Linked DNA regions of Pelodiscus sinensis. The protein of the gene in region 1 interacts with the protein of each later gene in a pairwise test. Links are inferred from orthologs where the notes say so. Each region holds a gene or a part of one and is shown in the gene's direction. Other genes may lie near its edges.

The links.
Region 2: the proteins of tyrosine-protein phosphatase non-receptor type substrate 1-like (region 1) and NOL3 interact in a two-hybrid assay, tested with the Homo sapiens proteins (2 studies listed by BioGRID and IntAct). The two-hybrid records come from large-scale screens. The link is inferred for Pelodiscus sinensis from reciprocal best matches to the Homo sapiens genes SIRPA and NOL3.

Annotation. Positions count from the first base shown.
Region 1 is NC_134728.1:2,956,888-2,964,851, forward strand, and holds the start of tyrosine-protein phosphatase non-receptor type substrate 1-like, read left to right. Parts: upstream 1-4,865; 5' UTR 4,866-5,306; intron 5,307-5,411; 5' UTR 5,412-5,420; coding exon 5,421-5,502; intron 5,503-7,964. UniProt on the Homo sapiens protein: Immunoglobulin-like cell surface receptor for CD47. Acts as docking protein and induces translocation of PTPN6, PTPN11 and other binding partners from the cytosol to the plasma membrane.
Region 2 is NC_134714.1:133,327,743-133,335,136, forward strand, and holds the start of NOL3 (nucleolar protein 3), read left to right. Parts: upstream 1-4,186; 5' UTR 4,187-5,571; intron 5,572-7,394.

The DNA of each region.
Region 1 (7,964 bases):
AGGCTGACTAATGCTTCTATAGGAGGATCAATTTTAGGAGTTCAAACCCAGCTTTCCGTGGGATCCCACATGCCCATCTCTGTACAAGGAATTCTTTTAAGCAGAGACCACTCCCCACTCCCCTTACAAAAAGCCTCAAATGGAGCATAAATGTGGACATGTTTCCAATGCGCACACTTGCCAGAAAGGGGAGATAAAAAACAGTGGGAGCAAGTTTCTTTTCACCTAGGACAGCGATTGGTTCCGCTGGAATAACACTGATCACACATATTTGTATAATTAAGGTAGCACCCAGTCATTAATCAGGTGTGAAGAGTTTCACGGGGCTGCACAGGCACCGGAAAACATGTTCCCTATTTTCAAGAGCATGCAAATTAAATTCAGACCAGATGCAACCCGTGGGTGTAGCAAACAACAGGCCAGAGAGAGGGGTTGCGGTGGTAAGAACATGAAGTCATAATATGCATGGCTTGGGGGGTTCCAAATCACTTGAGACCGCTTTGTTTTTTGTTTACAGCTCGATACTAATCAAGAGAGTAAATGCGGCACTCTCTCATCCTCCCAAGGGGGAGTGTTACGGTTAATGGGGGCGGAGGGAGGCTGCAAGCCAGGCTCTTGGAAGAATTACAGCAAACTTCTCCAGAACTTTGGAATTAGTCTTGATCTAGACAGCACTCATGGAGCAAGGTCTGCAGCCACTCTCTAGCTGAAATCTAGCATGGGACAGTCGCTAGCTGGGATTTGTGTTCAGTGTGAGCATAAGAATATTTGGTCTCTCTGGCCCTAATCAAGGATTTTTTTTCAGACAAGCAGCTAAGACAGCTGCAAAGACTCCCCCAAATATTTGCCTCTCCCCAGCTTTGATTCCCTATGACTGCTGTGCTGTGCATTCATATTGCTTGCTGGATAGGTTCAGGTACAGCAGTGAATTCCTGCAGGGCCTGCTGGGCAGACACAGCCTTACATCGCCATCTGTTCTGACCCAAATCGGTCGCAAATGACAACTGTGACCAGTGTTCCTTATAAGTGCTTGGGCAGCCACCCGGGGGACATTCCAATGCCACCCTGCTAATTAGCAGAGCACGCACAGCTGCACGCAGCCAGCAGCGTGTCCTTCTAATGGTGGTGCACATCTGCCCATGCCTCAGTGCACATCACAAAATGTATTCTGCACATGAGTGGAAAAAAGCTTCGGAGGGGGAGCCGAGTTAGCCTGTAGCTGGGAAAACTTTAAGAAGTTGGGGTGGAAAAGGAGGAAACACTGCAGCTAACCATTGTTAAAGGAACTTCAGGGGGTAGCCGAGTTAATCTGTTACAGAAAAAAGCAACAAATGGTCTGGTAGCACTTTATAGACTAACAAAAACATGTCTGTAGATGGTATGCCCATTGTTAAAGGAGTTAATCATTGCTCATTTCCAGGTAGGCACGCCCAGGCCACAACTGGCCCCTTGTTTTCCAAGTGCAGAGAGAAAGCCAAGATCTGAACAGTGGAGACTGTTTGCCTCCCTCCACTCCGGAGGGTCTCTCGGAAGCGCGGTAGCATAGCAATGCCATGCTTGTGGGCCTGGAATCCCGCAGGACACGCATCACTGGGGGTGTGGTGACACTGCAAGAAAAGCCCCGTGATGTGGCTGCCATTGGCCCAGGTCAGCTGATTTGGGCTCTCCAGGCTGGGACAGCAGGGCTATGACACTGCAGTGTAGATATTCAGGGTCTGACACCCCAAAGCGGGTGGGGCTAAGAGCCACATGTCCACACTATGTTTAGCCCCATAGCCCGAGCCTGAATCAGCTGACCTAGCCGCTGGGACTCATCCCCATGGGTTTTTATGGCAGTGTAGACATACCCTGAAACACACTGCACGGTGAGAAGAGCAAACCAGACTCTGCCTTCTCCCTTCCCTTTCTTCCTCTGCCCTGTTCTTCCGCCGCTTTTCACCCGCCCAGCGCCTCCATCTTCCTCCCCCCTTCTCTCCCTCGCCACCTGGGGCTTTTGTTCCCTTGGTGGGCAATGTTCCTCGCCGGCCTGTGACAAACGGCACGTCGCAGGGTGCTCAGCTGGGAAGCTGTTCATCGTTCCCTCTCACACAAAGCTCTTCTCATCGCCACACCAGGGAGGGACCTGGTACCACTTGGCAACCAAACGCCTCTGAATGCCCTGGCTGGAAGGGTTCCCGCTTAGCTCCAGAGGCGTCAGAGGGGCGGGCAGTGTGGCTGGAGGTGTCTGAGGGGAGATGGAGACCTATCACCGGGGGGGAAGGATGGGGTGCCGGGGATTTGTCTGCTGCGGGTGGGTGTGTCTGAGAGTGGGGTCAGCGCCATCGGGGCAGGGATTCTTCCTCTCCCCTCAGAATTTAACAAGAGGCTGCCGGTGGCGGGGGGCTCTCTCCAGTAGGCTGCAAAGAGACTCCCCCTCCCTCCACCACAACTCCTCCATTCTCACCCCATTTGTTCCCAGCCCCCCACATCTTCCTACCCTTCTCGCTAAGGCAGTGCCAACCACTTCTAATAACTGACTATTAAATGTGTATTATGGTAGCACCTGAGCGTCCCCGTCCGGGCAGGACACCATTGTGCTAGCGACGAGGAGTCCTGTGGCACCTTATCGACTAACAGGTTTACTGGTGCATAAGCTTTCATGGGCAAAGACCCACTTCATCAGATGCATCTAGTGGAAATTCCAGAGGCAGGTATATATATATACAGGCATAAGAAAAGAGTAGCAATCAAGAGTTAGGCTAGAGATAACGAGGTCAATTCAGTCAGGGAGGATGAGGCCCACTTCTAGCCGCTGATGTGGAGGTGTGAAAACCAAGAGAGGAGAAACTTCTTTTGTAGTTGGCTAGCCTTTCACAGTCTGGCTGCGCCTAGATTGGCATGATCTTCTGGAAATGCTTTTAATGGAAAAGTTTTCCGTTAAAAGCATTTTCGGAACAGAGCGTCTAGATTGGCAAGGACACTTTTCGGCAAAAACACTTTTGCGGCAAAAGCACCATTTTCGCGATCGGGGCTTTTTTGCGGAAACAAATCTGAGCTGTCTACACTGGCCCTTTTGTGCAAAAGCTTTGCCTGAACGGGAGCAGAATACTATTTCCGCAAGAAGCACTGATTTCTTACAGTAGGAAGTCAGTGCTTTTGCGGAAATTCAAGTGGCCAGTGTAGACAGCTGGCAAGTTTTTCCGGAAAAGCGGCTGATTTTCCGGAAAAACTGACTAGTCTAGACACATCCTCTTTGTTTAATCCTTTGTTTAATCTACACAAGAGAGCCACTTCCTGGACACTACGGTGCAAATAAATGATGGTCACATAAAGACCACCCTACAACGAAAACCTACTGACCTCTATGCCTACCTCCATGCCTCCAGCTTCCATCCCGGACACACCACACGATCCATTGTCTACTACAGCCAAGCACTAAGGTACAATTGCATTTGCTCCAATCCCTCAGACAGAGACAAACACCTACAAGATCTTCACCAAGAATTCTTGAAACTACAATACCTGACTGAGGAAGTGAGGAAACAGATTAACAGAGCCGAGATGTGTACCCAGAGGCCGCCTACTACAAGACAAGCCCAACAAAGAAACAAACAGAACACCACTGGCCATCACCTACAGTCCTCAGCTAAAACCTCTCCAATGCATCATCAGTGATCTACAACCCATCCTGGACAATGATCCCTCACTTTCACAGGCTTTGGGAGGCAGGCCAGTCCTCGCCCACAGACAACCTGCCAACCTAAAGCAAATTCTCACCAGCAACTATACAGCACACCACAGTAACTCTAACTCAGGAATGAATCCCTGCAACAAACCTCGGTGCCAACTCTGCCCACATATCTACACCAGCGACACCATCACAGGAGCTAATCAGATCAGCCACACCATCAAGTGTTCATTTACCTGCACATCTACCAATGTGATCTATGCCATCATGTGCCAGCAATGCCCCTCTGCTATATACATTAGCCAAACTGGACAGTCGCTACGTAAAAGAATAAATGGACACAAATCAGATATTAGGAATGGCAATATACAAAAACCTGTAGGGGAACACTTCAATCTCCCTGGACACACAGTAGCAGATTTAAAAGTAGCCATCCTGCAACAAAAAAACTTCAAGAACAGACTTAAAAGAGAAACTGCTGAGCTACAGTTCATCTGCAAATTTGATACCATCCATTTAGGATTAAACAAAGACTGTGAAAGGCTAGCCAACTACAAAAGCAGTTTCTCCTCTCTTGGTTTTCCACACCTCCACATCAGCAGCTAAAAAAGTGGGCCTTATCTTCCCTGACTGAATTGACCTCGTTATCTCCAGCCTTACTCTTGATCCTACTCTTTTCTTATGCCTGTGTATTTATACTTGCCTCTGGAATTTCCACTACATGCATCTGACAAGTGGGTCTTTGCCCACGAAAGCTTATGTGCCAATAAATCTGTTAATCTATAAAGTGCCACAGGATTTCTCATGGCTTTTGCAGATTTAGACTAACAAGGCTACCCCTTGGATACATTGAGCTACCCCTTGGATACATTGAGCTACCCCTTGGATACATTGTGATAGGTGCTGCACAGACACAGAACAAGCCAGGCCCTGCCCCACAGCACTTCCATGCTGCCCACTGACATCTCTGAGCCCCTTCCTCAAGAATGTGATTCCACCTGCTTGTCCTCCTGAGGGGCAGGGCAGGGCTGCCACCCCCAGTGCACGGAGGGGGAATCGAGGCACGCAGGGAAGCTGTGGTACGACAGGGACTCGCGCCCCCCGTCTACCAAGTTGCAGACTGGAGCTCTAACCACTGGGAAGCCCATCCCCTCACTCCCTCTGCTTCCCGCCCTCCTTCCTCAGCCTTTCCCCAGGCTCGGGGCAGACCAGGGCTCCCCTGGCGGAGGAAGTGACAGCAGCGGGCAAAGCCAAAGGGCGACGCCGGGGGCACGCGGTTCGCTCCGCGCCCTCCCCAGAAGCAGCTGCCAGGCGCGGGGGAGGGAACTCGCCCGGCCCACCTTAAGCCGGCAACGCGGGGCTGCTCCGGGATGACCGTAGCGCAGCAGGGGGGTGTGGAGCCCGGCCCGGGGCTGCACCCGCCCGGCGAGCGACCTTAAATCGGGGCGGCCCGGGGGGGCTGTTCCTGCGCCCGGGTACGTGCCTGGAAGCCGCCTCCTCCGTGCTAGGCAACCGGGGGGGCTGCCAGCGCCAGGAACCGGAGCGGGAGCCCGCGCCGCGGCCACACACCCGCCGCAGGGGCCGGGCTGCAGCGGGCGGGCCGGCGAGCGACGCCCGGTCCCCCGAGCCGGCTGCCCAGGTGGGGGGCGCGACGCCTCCTCCTCCTCCTCCTCCGGGGGGCGGCCCTGAGCCCGAGCGGAGCCGGCCCCTTCATGCGACTCTTCCTCCTTTCTGTCCCCGCCAGCCGCCCGCCATGGAGCCCGGCGCCCGCCGCGCCCGCGCCCCGGCCCGGGGGCTCACCTGCCTGCTGCTCCTCGGCCTGCTCGCCTGGCCCGGTAAGTGATGCTGCTCCCGGTGGGCAGGCTGGCGTGAGCCCCCCCCCCCGGGCTCTTCCCTGCTCCCCCCGGCTCTTCCCTGACCCCCGGGAGTGTCTGCCCCACGGCTCTTCCCTGCCCCCCCCCGGCTCTTCCGTGCCCCCCGGAGTATCTTCCCCCCGGGGAGTGTCTGCCCCCCGGCTCTTCCCTGCCCCCCCCGGCTCTTCCCTGACCCCCGGGAGTGTCTGCCCCCCGGCTCTTCCCTGCCCCCCCCCCGGCTCTTCCGTGCCCCCCGGAGTATCTTCCCCCCGGGGAGTGTTTGCCCCCTGGCTCTTCCCTGCCCTCAGTAGTGTCTGCCCCCCGGCTCTTCCCTGCCCCCCCCGGGAGTGTCTGCCCCCCGGCTCTTCCCTGCCCCCCCCGGGAGTGTCTGCCCCCCGGCTCTTCCCTGCCCCCCCCCCGGGAGTGTCTGCTCCCCGACTCTTCCCTGCCCCCCCGGGAGTGTCTGGCGCCCCCCCCCCCCAGCAAGCTTGTCTGTTGATCTTTAGCTGCCGCAGCGCCCTAGCCGGGGAGGGGGCACATTAAAGACGGGGGGGGGCTGTAACTGGGCTGCTGTGGGAGTAACCTGGGCGCTTCTCCCCTGGGTCCACGGGGGTCTGGCTTGCGCTGTGTAATGTGCGTGGTGGTGGGGGGGGGAGGAGTTGATTTTTCTGTAATCTAGAGATTGTGCCACCAGGTAAACACCCCCTGGTCTGGTGAAAACCGGGCACTGGGGGTTCAACTGGGCAGGCTTAGAACTGGCCCCTTGCTGGGATAGCTATAGGCAGCTAGTGCTTGAGGTGAGAGGGGTGCAGGGAGGGGGCACCCCATTTAGCAGTGAGAATTTTGGTGGAGGGCACTGGGATGCTACCACGAGTCACTGGTGCATATGGCTGCTGCGATCTGCAGGCTGGGTGAATTGGTCAAAATGGCACAAATCTGCCACTCGGACTGTGTTTTTTACACACCAACCGGCAGCCGCGAGGGCACGTATACGCAGGACGTGGCTCCTGGTTAACTCCACGTGTGGATAGTCTTAGTCCAGAATAAGAGAATTCACATGGGGAATTATTCGGGAATGTCTTTAAATACATCCTATCATATTCCAAACTGATTTTCATGAGCCCTTTCAGGAAGCTGTAAAACAGGCACCGCTGTCATTGTCTGATTTCTTACACAGTCCTGCTAGTTGCTTTTTGCGAGCCGTACCCTCCTTTTTGCAGCTCAGAGTGTGCAAATCTCACTCACTTTGCACAATCACTGAATGCCCAGTCAGCGCAACTTTCACCACTTTGCATCCGTTTTCTGGCTCTAGTAATCCACCATGAAGTTTGTATCATAAGGGGAATTGCACTCACTGACTTGAAGCTGAGTTTGACCCGGTCTAGGCTAGGTACCCTCTTGCGGCGCAGCTGTGCTGCTGTACAGCTTCCTATGTAGCCATTGTATGTTGATAGGAGAGAGCTCTTCAGCCACTCCAATTAAACGACCCTCAAGGTGCGGTTGTAGCTATGTTGGCAGAATGAGCTTTCCCACCAACATAGCACTGTCCACACCGGCACTTTTGGCAGCAAAACTTATGGCAGTTGGGGTGTGGGGTTTTTTTTCACACCCTGACAGATTAAAAAATTGCCAGCAAAAGTGTATAGAGCCCTGCAATTTGTATTCGTGGGCATCCGCACCTGTGGCTGCAGACATCCGTGGCGCGTTTTTATGGATATGGTTGCGGATACAATTTTTTTTCTCTAGAATGGTGCAAATTTGCAGATAGCCACTTTATAGCCACTCCACACCCGCAGAGGGGGTTGCAGATATCCCTGGACCATTTTTGCAGATGTGAGCACAAGTTTTGTATCCGTGTAGGGCTCTGCTAGTGTAGACAAAGCCTAATCTAGGCACTTGTACTGTGCCTGGCTCACAATACTGACTCTGTCAGATGATTTGTTTAATGCTCACAAAAGACTTTTGAGCTCCGTGGACGGCGCTATCATGGTGCATTTCTTTACTCAATTTGTTTATTTCTCCTGCCTTTTGCACTTCCCTCTTTTCACTCCCTTCCCTCCATCAGTGTCAGTAAAAACTTCCCTCCTCCACCAAGAATAGAACCGTGTAGTTACTGTTGCATTTCGATGGTGCTTCGCTTGCAGCTGAAATGCTGTAATTTTATCTGTATCTCTCAGCATTAAAAACAACAAGGAGTCTGCCGACACCTTCAAAACTCACAATTTTATCATGGCAGAAGCTTGAATTGCAACTCACTCCTTAACCCGGCTCCCTCTCTGACAGCTCTGAGCAGTTAGTTAATCCACCACGGAAGGCCACTTGTGTGACCGAAATCAAGGCCTGGCTTTCTTAGGAAGCCTTTGTATGCTGGAGTAGCGAGCCCACACTAATGTCCAGCCACCTCTAATGCCAGTCCATGAGCCAGGCAATGTCATTGATCATGA
Region 2 (7,394 bases), on another chromosome or scaffold:
GGAGAAAACTTGTTCATCTTGGCCTCTGAGGATAGAACAAGAAGCAATGGGCTTAAACTGCAGCAAGGGAGGTTTAGGTTGGACATTAGGAAAAAGTTCCTACCTGTCAGGGTGGTCAAACACTGGAATCAATTGCCCAGGGAGGTTGTGGAATCCCCATCTCTGGAGATATTTAAGAGCAGGTTAGATAAATGTCTCTCAGGGATGGGCTAGACAGTATTTGGTCCTGCCGTGAGGGCAGGGGACTGGACTCGATGCCTCTCGAGGTCCCTTCCAGTCCTAGTATTCTATGATTCTATTCAGCAGAGGGCCTGGGGGGGTGTTTTGCACTTCGGAAAGGTTTAGACACACTCGTGAGAGGCCAGAGTCGAGCAACACACGTGATGAGAAGGCTGGAAAACCTGGCCTATAAACAGGGCTCGTGACAGACTTCACCAGGCCTTGGGCAATGTGTGTGTGGGAGGGGCACGCTCCGTGCTCCCAGAAGGGGCGGGGCCTTGGGAACAAGGGGTGGGTCTGGAGCAGAAGGGGCGGGGCTAGAGCTAGCCTCCCTAGCCATCCCTGAGTGCGGTCCACACCACATCACACAGGACTCCAGCGGCGATTTAAAGGGCTCTGGCTACCGCTGGTGCCAAGGGGGCAGCAGTGTGGCTCAGACCCTCTTAAATCACCAGGCTCCAGGACAACTACTGTATTTTAGCGTATATAACCCACAGGTTATATGAGTTTTTACAACACACACACCCCCCCCCCCATGGGGTATACAATATTTTTTTTTACTCACCTGGTGAGTTCCGGTACAACCGCCAGCCTCCGGGTGGGGGAGCGCACATCCCCCTGGTTCCCGCGCAGCCGCAGAAAGCGGTGGGGGAGCACTCATCTCCCGGTTTCCGCGCAGCCGCAGGAACTGGGGGATGAGTGCTCCCCCACCCGGAGACTGGCAGCTGCGCAGGAACTGGGGCGTTTAGGCTGGCTAATCCCACCCCCTCCCCCGGCACCCTAAATTAGCTAATATACCCCGGCACAGTTGGAAAGAAAAGTCTTGTATAGCCTGTGGGTTATACTTGTGCGCAAGGTATACAAGATTTTTTTTACTCAATTCGGAAAAAGTCGAGGGGTATATTCGCTAACATACGGTACCCCTTGCGCTCCCCTGGTCTGCAGCCCTGCCTCTGAAGAAAGGTCAAAAGAACAGGACAAGGTCAGTCCAGAGACAAGGCGGCTGTGGAGGGAGCCGGTAACTGCCTACAGCGATGGAAAAGGTTGTGAGCAAGAGGCCAGTGAACCATTGCTCTGGACAACGAGGAGCTGGATTAATTGGTGGCAAGAAAATGAAGGTTTGCTCTGAGGGGAAACTTTCTAGCTATGCTCTGGCACCAGTTTCCACGTGTGGAATCCCCATCGGAGGAGGGTTTTCAGAACAGGAGGGACAAATACCTGTCTGGGATCATCTTGGTTTCCTTGGTCCTGCCTCACTGCTCCTCCCACGGTCCCTCCCGGCCCTAAGGTTGTAGGCTCCCACGCCTGGCACGGATTCAAGTGCTCATGTTTCATGTCAGCAGCAAAGAGCAAATTGCACAAGCGAAAATGACGCAACCTTGCCGGAGGCAACAAGGGAAACGGATGGAGAAACGCACCGCTGGCTGCTCACCAGGGGTCAGTGGAGGGCTGCTGTCAGCCATTCAGCCTCAGGGTAGGTAAAAAAAAAGCCCTGTAAGGAAAGATCCCAGGCCTTTTACTTCCTGACAAGCGTCTCCTTTGCCGATCTCCCTGGTCTGCCCGCTGGCATGCCCCGAGACGCACACAAAACATGTGGCTTGCCGACAGCTGACACAGGGCAGGGAACTCCGCTTCCTCGTCACTTCCACATTCCCTGGCATGCTGTCCATTGTCCAGCCCATCGAAACTCGGAACAGCTCAGCCCCCCCAGCTGTGATGAAAATCCCATCCCCTGGCTATGGGCTTAGATCCTGGGGAAACCTCTATGGGACACGTTTGTCCCTCCGCTGTACACCAGAGCCTTGGAAAGCTGCCTTAATATCCAGACACACGCATGATGCCCTCTTCTCGCGGCATTGCCACATGGGGATACTCATAAACACCATCAGAGGAGTAGCCATGTTCGTCTGGATCTGCAAAAGCAACGAGGAGTCCTGTGGCAACTTATAGACTAACACAGTGGTCCCCAGCCTTTCGGGGCTGCCGGGCACCCGGGGGCAGGGCCACGCATGTGTCTGGGGGTGGGACCACCCATACACCGCATGCCAGGTGCTGGCGCCACCCATGCGCCGTAGTCCCGGGGCCAGCGCCGGTCCTGTGCCGCACGCCATGGGGTGGGGCTGCCCATACGCCACACGCCCGGGGCTGGTGCTTCTCCTGTGCCGTGTGCCCAGGGGCGGGGATGCCCATACGCCATGCACCCAGGAGCCGACAGCGCCCACGGGCCCGGGCCAGCCCTGATCACTCGGCGGGCGCACAGAAATGGCCCAGCGGGCACCATGGCACCCGCGGGCACCACGTTGAGGACCACTGGACTAACAGATGTATACGAGCATAAGCTTTTGTGGGCAAAGACCCACTTCGTCAGATGCAAGTCATGTAAATTCCACTACATGCATCTGATGAAGTGGGTCTTCGCACACTAAAGCTTATGCTCCAATACATCTGTTAGCCTATAAGGGTACGTCAAGACTACAGGCTTTTGTTGACATGACAGTGTAGACGCAAGGGACAGTGTAGATGCAATAACGCCTTCTGTTGACAGAACTCTGTCGACAAAAGACGCTATTCCTCGAAGAATGAGGTTTACAGAACTCGGCGGCAGTGTAGACGCAGGTCTAGTTTTGTCGACAAAAGTCCACTTTTCTTGACAAAACCCTGTAGTCTAGACACACCCTAAGGTGCCACAGGACCTTCGTCGCTCATAAAAACCATGTTCCCCCACCCTCCCGGCTCTGCACACTCACCTCCATGTGTTGACTCAGCAATCAAATGAACTTTTTTCCATTTGTGGGAGTGGGGAATATGCTTTCACTTCCATGCACGGTCTTTGCACCTTCTGTGGATTTGCTGCACTTTCCCGACACACCTGGAAGATCAAAGCACTGTGGGATCCGCTGCCTCAGCACGAGAGAACTTGCAGCCGCACAAGCGAAGAGTTGTTGAGAGGTTAAAGCAGGTAAAACATTCACAGGTGAGTCACAGATTGTAACGCCAGGGTCCCCGTGTATTGTCTCTGGAGATCTCCACTTGACATCTGGTAAACTTCCCCGTGAGAGTCCAAACAATCCAGAGATGCAGGATCCATCCATGAATCCACACATACAGCTTCTTCTCACAGAAAATCAGCTGCGGATTGCAGGACTCCAGGGTAAAAGATGCAGGTAACTGGGTAACATGATGGCAGGGGAAATTCAGCACAGAGAGGGTGAGATTGCGGGGAGGGGGTGGGAACAGTTTAAACGGAGTGACGTACAATGTCCGAAACAAATTAGCTAAACAAAGGGAGCACTGAGGAGAGATTCCACTCACAGGACACAAGAGGGAGCCAGCGCCCCACTCAGACACCAACCTCCCTGACCCAAAAACACAGAGGGGTTAGAATGAGGCTTGAAAGTACCAGGAAATATGAGACACGTCGACTTCACCTTATCCACACCAACTGGCGAGAACATAGCTCGGTCCATACTCAGCAACATTTACAGAGATGGAAAGTAAGAAAATCCCTGCCCGGAATCCTATCAGAGTTGGATTGAGAGCTCCTGACTTGGTACATTTTGACATGTGGGGTTGACAATTTCGGCTTCCACAGTTATAAAGCTTTAACTTTTTGCATCTCAGCGTCGACTGGGCTGTCTTTAAATAATTAGAAGCGTCAGGGGGTAGCCGAATTAGTCTGTACAGGATACAATTAAAACACCAAAACTGGTCTGGTAGCACTTTATAGACTAACAAAACAGAGATGGTATCATGAGCTTTCGCAGGCACAGCCCTTTTTGGGTCTGCACATCCTAAACTCAAAACTCTGGTCATCTGAAGAAGTGGGCTGTGCCCACGAAAGCTCATAATACCATCTACATGTTTTGTTAGTCTATAAAGTACTACCAGATCATTTTTGGTTTTTTAAATATGACACACGCACACCCTTGGTCTCTGATCCCGCCTCAGTTCTGAAAACATAAGTAAATAAGAATAAAAAAGCTTAAAAATAAACCTTGATATTATCCACTGAAATTGTAAAAGAAAATATGGAAAAATCCAGTTCTGCCAAGTCTACTTACTCTCGACTTCTCTGTCCACATATAAATTGGTTTAATCACAATAGTTCTGCCCTCTAGTTCCGTGGTTTTCCCAGGACTATATCTGACAATATTATAGCAGTTTAATATTCGATATTCGTACTTCAATTCATTCATTCGCAGACTGGGAAAAAGGGAAGTCTCTTCAAAGCAACATCAATGAAACACTTTTGTTCAAGGCTGCAAATTCACTGACTTTCCACCGGCTCTTGAGAAAGTGCTAAGAAACACTCCTATTAGACGTCCAGGGATTTTTGCTCTTTCAGGCCTCTGTCCTGCCTTTTGTAAAAGATCTTGATGGCTGAGCAATTCTTAACCAGTGGTGCGTGTTTGAATTTCAATAGCAACACCAACAAAGCAAGGTGTCCTATAATCGGCTCAGTTGGAATGATTGAACCCGCGACAACGAACCTAGCAGACTGCAGAAAAGCACACGCAAGAATGACCATTGATGGACCTAGCCTCCGTGAATGGATCTAATTGTTTTTAACCCATTTAAGGACCGGTGCGACGCCGGGTAAATCTGCTAGTTTGGAGGCCTTGCTCATGACTCTAAGAATAAACGTTGTTATGTTGCAACCATCCACCAAGACTGAGGTGTTTCAGCTAACCTCGGCTAGGAACTTATTCCTTAGGACCGGATGCTAATGATATTGAGGGTCCTAAAGCAGCAAGCAAGCTCTTCAACCAAGAGCCTGTTTAAGTGCCAGGGGTATTGAAGTGTCTAGTTTTAGTGCGACTGCAGCCACACAGATAAGCCAGCCCCAAACAGCCAGTGTGGGCAGCAGGGAACAGAAGTGAGATGCCCTTCCTCCACCCCCTTGGTGCAGCTGGCCTTGTCCTGCCATGCCGTGTGAGGAGGGGCAGGCTGGCACTGCAAAGAAAGCCATGATCTAAGCTTTCGCCGTCTCCGTTTCATCTTGGCTCGTCCCCAGCCAGACACAAATAGCAGCAGGGACTGCGCCAAGCGCCACGGGAGAGGAGGAGGAAGCAAAGCGTCTGTGGGTCGAGACTTCTTCCTCGCTGATTTCCCAGCGGTCCTGACACACGCCTCATCCCCGTCGCCTGCTCACACCACCTGCCCGACGCAGCCAGTCTGCTGCTGAACGCAGACGCCTCCCGGGAACACGAGAGCTAGAGAGCAACTCGGCTTCCCTGCCGTGCGAAACAGAGCCAAGGGCATGCTGCAAGAGAGGCTGGAGTGACTCTGCGTTTCTGCAGGCCGACACCTTGCGGGGACGGGGATCTCGCTGGACTCTCACAGACCCAGCAGGTAGGCACCGCGCGACTTTTCACTAATCGCTCCCCCTCTCCCCTCTGGGGAAACGTTTCTTCTGCCTGCCAGAGCCTTCGCGCTCTGCCGCCCTTTCCCTCACGTAAGAACGGCCATAATGGGTCAGAGCAAAGAGCGGTCTAGCCCAGTGTCCTGTCTGCCAACAGCAGCCAATGCCACGTGCCGCAGAGGGAGGGAACAGATCCCTCCTCCGTCGCCCACTCCCAGCCTCTGACAAACAGCGGCTAGAGACACCATTCCTGCCCAGCCTGGCTAACCTGCATGGATTTATTTAGTTCTTTTTTGAAACCTGTTAAAATCCTGGCCTTCAAATCATCCACCGGCAAGGAGTTCCACAGGTTGACTATGCGCCGTGTGAAGAAAAACCTTCCTTTCGTTTTCAACCTGCGACCTGTTTAATTCATTTGGTGAACCCTAGTTCTGATGTGATGGGAACAAGTAAATAACGTTTCCTTATTCACTTTCTCCACACCAGTTGTGATTTTAGAGACCCCCTTAGCCTCCTTTTTTCCAAGCTGAAACGTCCTAGTCTTTTCAATCGCTCTCATATGGCAGCTGTTCCCAACCCCTTCCCCGGCCCTACCTTCACTCACCACCTCTGCCGAGCCGGTAGCCATCTGGCAGATGCAGTAGCCCTTTTGCTACTCCCCTGAGATGGTGGATATGGAGCAGAGAAGCTACATTGCGGTTTTGCAGGCAGGGGATAATTTTCTCAGCACCTCAGAGAAAACGTTAAGATACGAGAGACGATAAGAAGGGCCCTGGAAGTTCCGTTCGATTTTGGCAGGGTAGTGAGGCGACCGCCCTGCTCCCGGTGAGAGAAGGGTTAAGCCCAACCCTGGAGCAAGCGGCCAATCAGGACCCAGCTGGGGCGGTATAAATAGGAGCTGCTGAGCTCAGGGACACACTCTTGCTCCAGCGGTGGAGCAGGAAGGACCTGGCAGCCTGGCAAAAGTTTCAGAGTTTTTCCGTTTGAAACAACTCTTTCAAAAAGCCGTCTCGTTCCGTGTAACGTGAAAACAATCCAACGCCGTTCGACACGGCACCAACCCTTGCTGTCCCGGGCCCAGCCAGACATTTCATCCGCCCCCCCGGATTGTGAGGTCCGGTTTTCGAATGGCCAGCCCCCCAAAGCATCCACGGCCGTGTCCCCTTCGGATCGCAGAAACCGTGCTGCTGCCGAGAAGAAAGGGAGGAGTCTGATGATCCCCACGAATGGTAACAGCTGGGCCCGGAGGAGGACCGTGCCCAACTGTAGATCCTACAGAGGGATGTGGCCAAATTGGAGAGAGTCCAGAGGAAAGCAACGAACACGATAAGAGAATGTAACCGTCGAGGAGAGGCCGAGGGACCCGGGCGGGGATAGTTGAGAGAAGAGAACACAGCGGAGGGGTCTCAGAACAGTCTTCAAATAGGTACAAAGTGGATACAAAGGGAACGGTGATGAGTTGTTCTCCGCGTCCACTGAAGGCAGGACAAGAAGAAGCGGGTTCAACTGCAGCCAGGGAGCTGTGGGTTAGATCTTAGGAAATTATTTTAACTTTAAGCAAAGTGATGCTCTGGACAGGGGAGCCAACAGCTCCTGCAGGCCCCTGGGAAAGGTGGGGTAGGAAGGCTGACTCCACAATCCAGGAAGGGACGGGAGCCTCAGGCAGAAGGGGCGGAGCCTCAGGCAGAAGGGGCGGAGCCTCGGCAGCCAGCCCTCCACACACACCCAGTCCTTAGAGCTGCCTGGAGCAAGAGATGGAAATTTAAAGGGGCGGGGACTCCAGCCACTAGTGCAGCTGCAGTAGAGCAGTGGT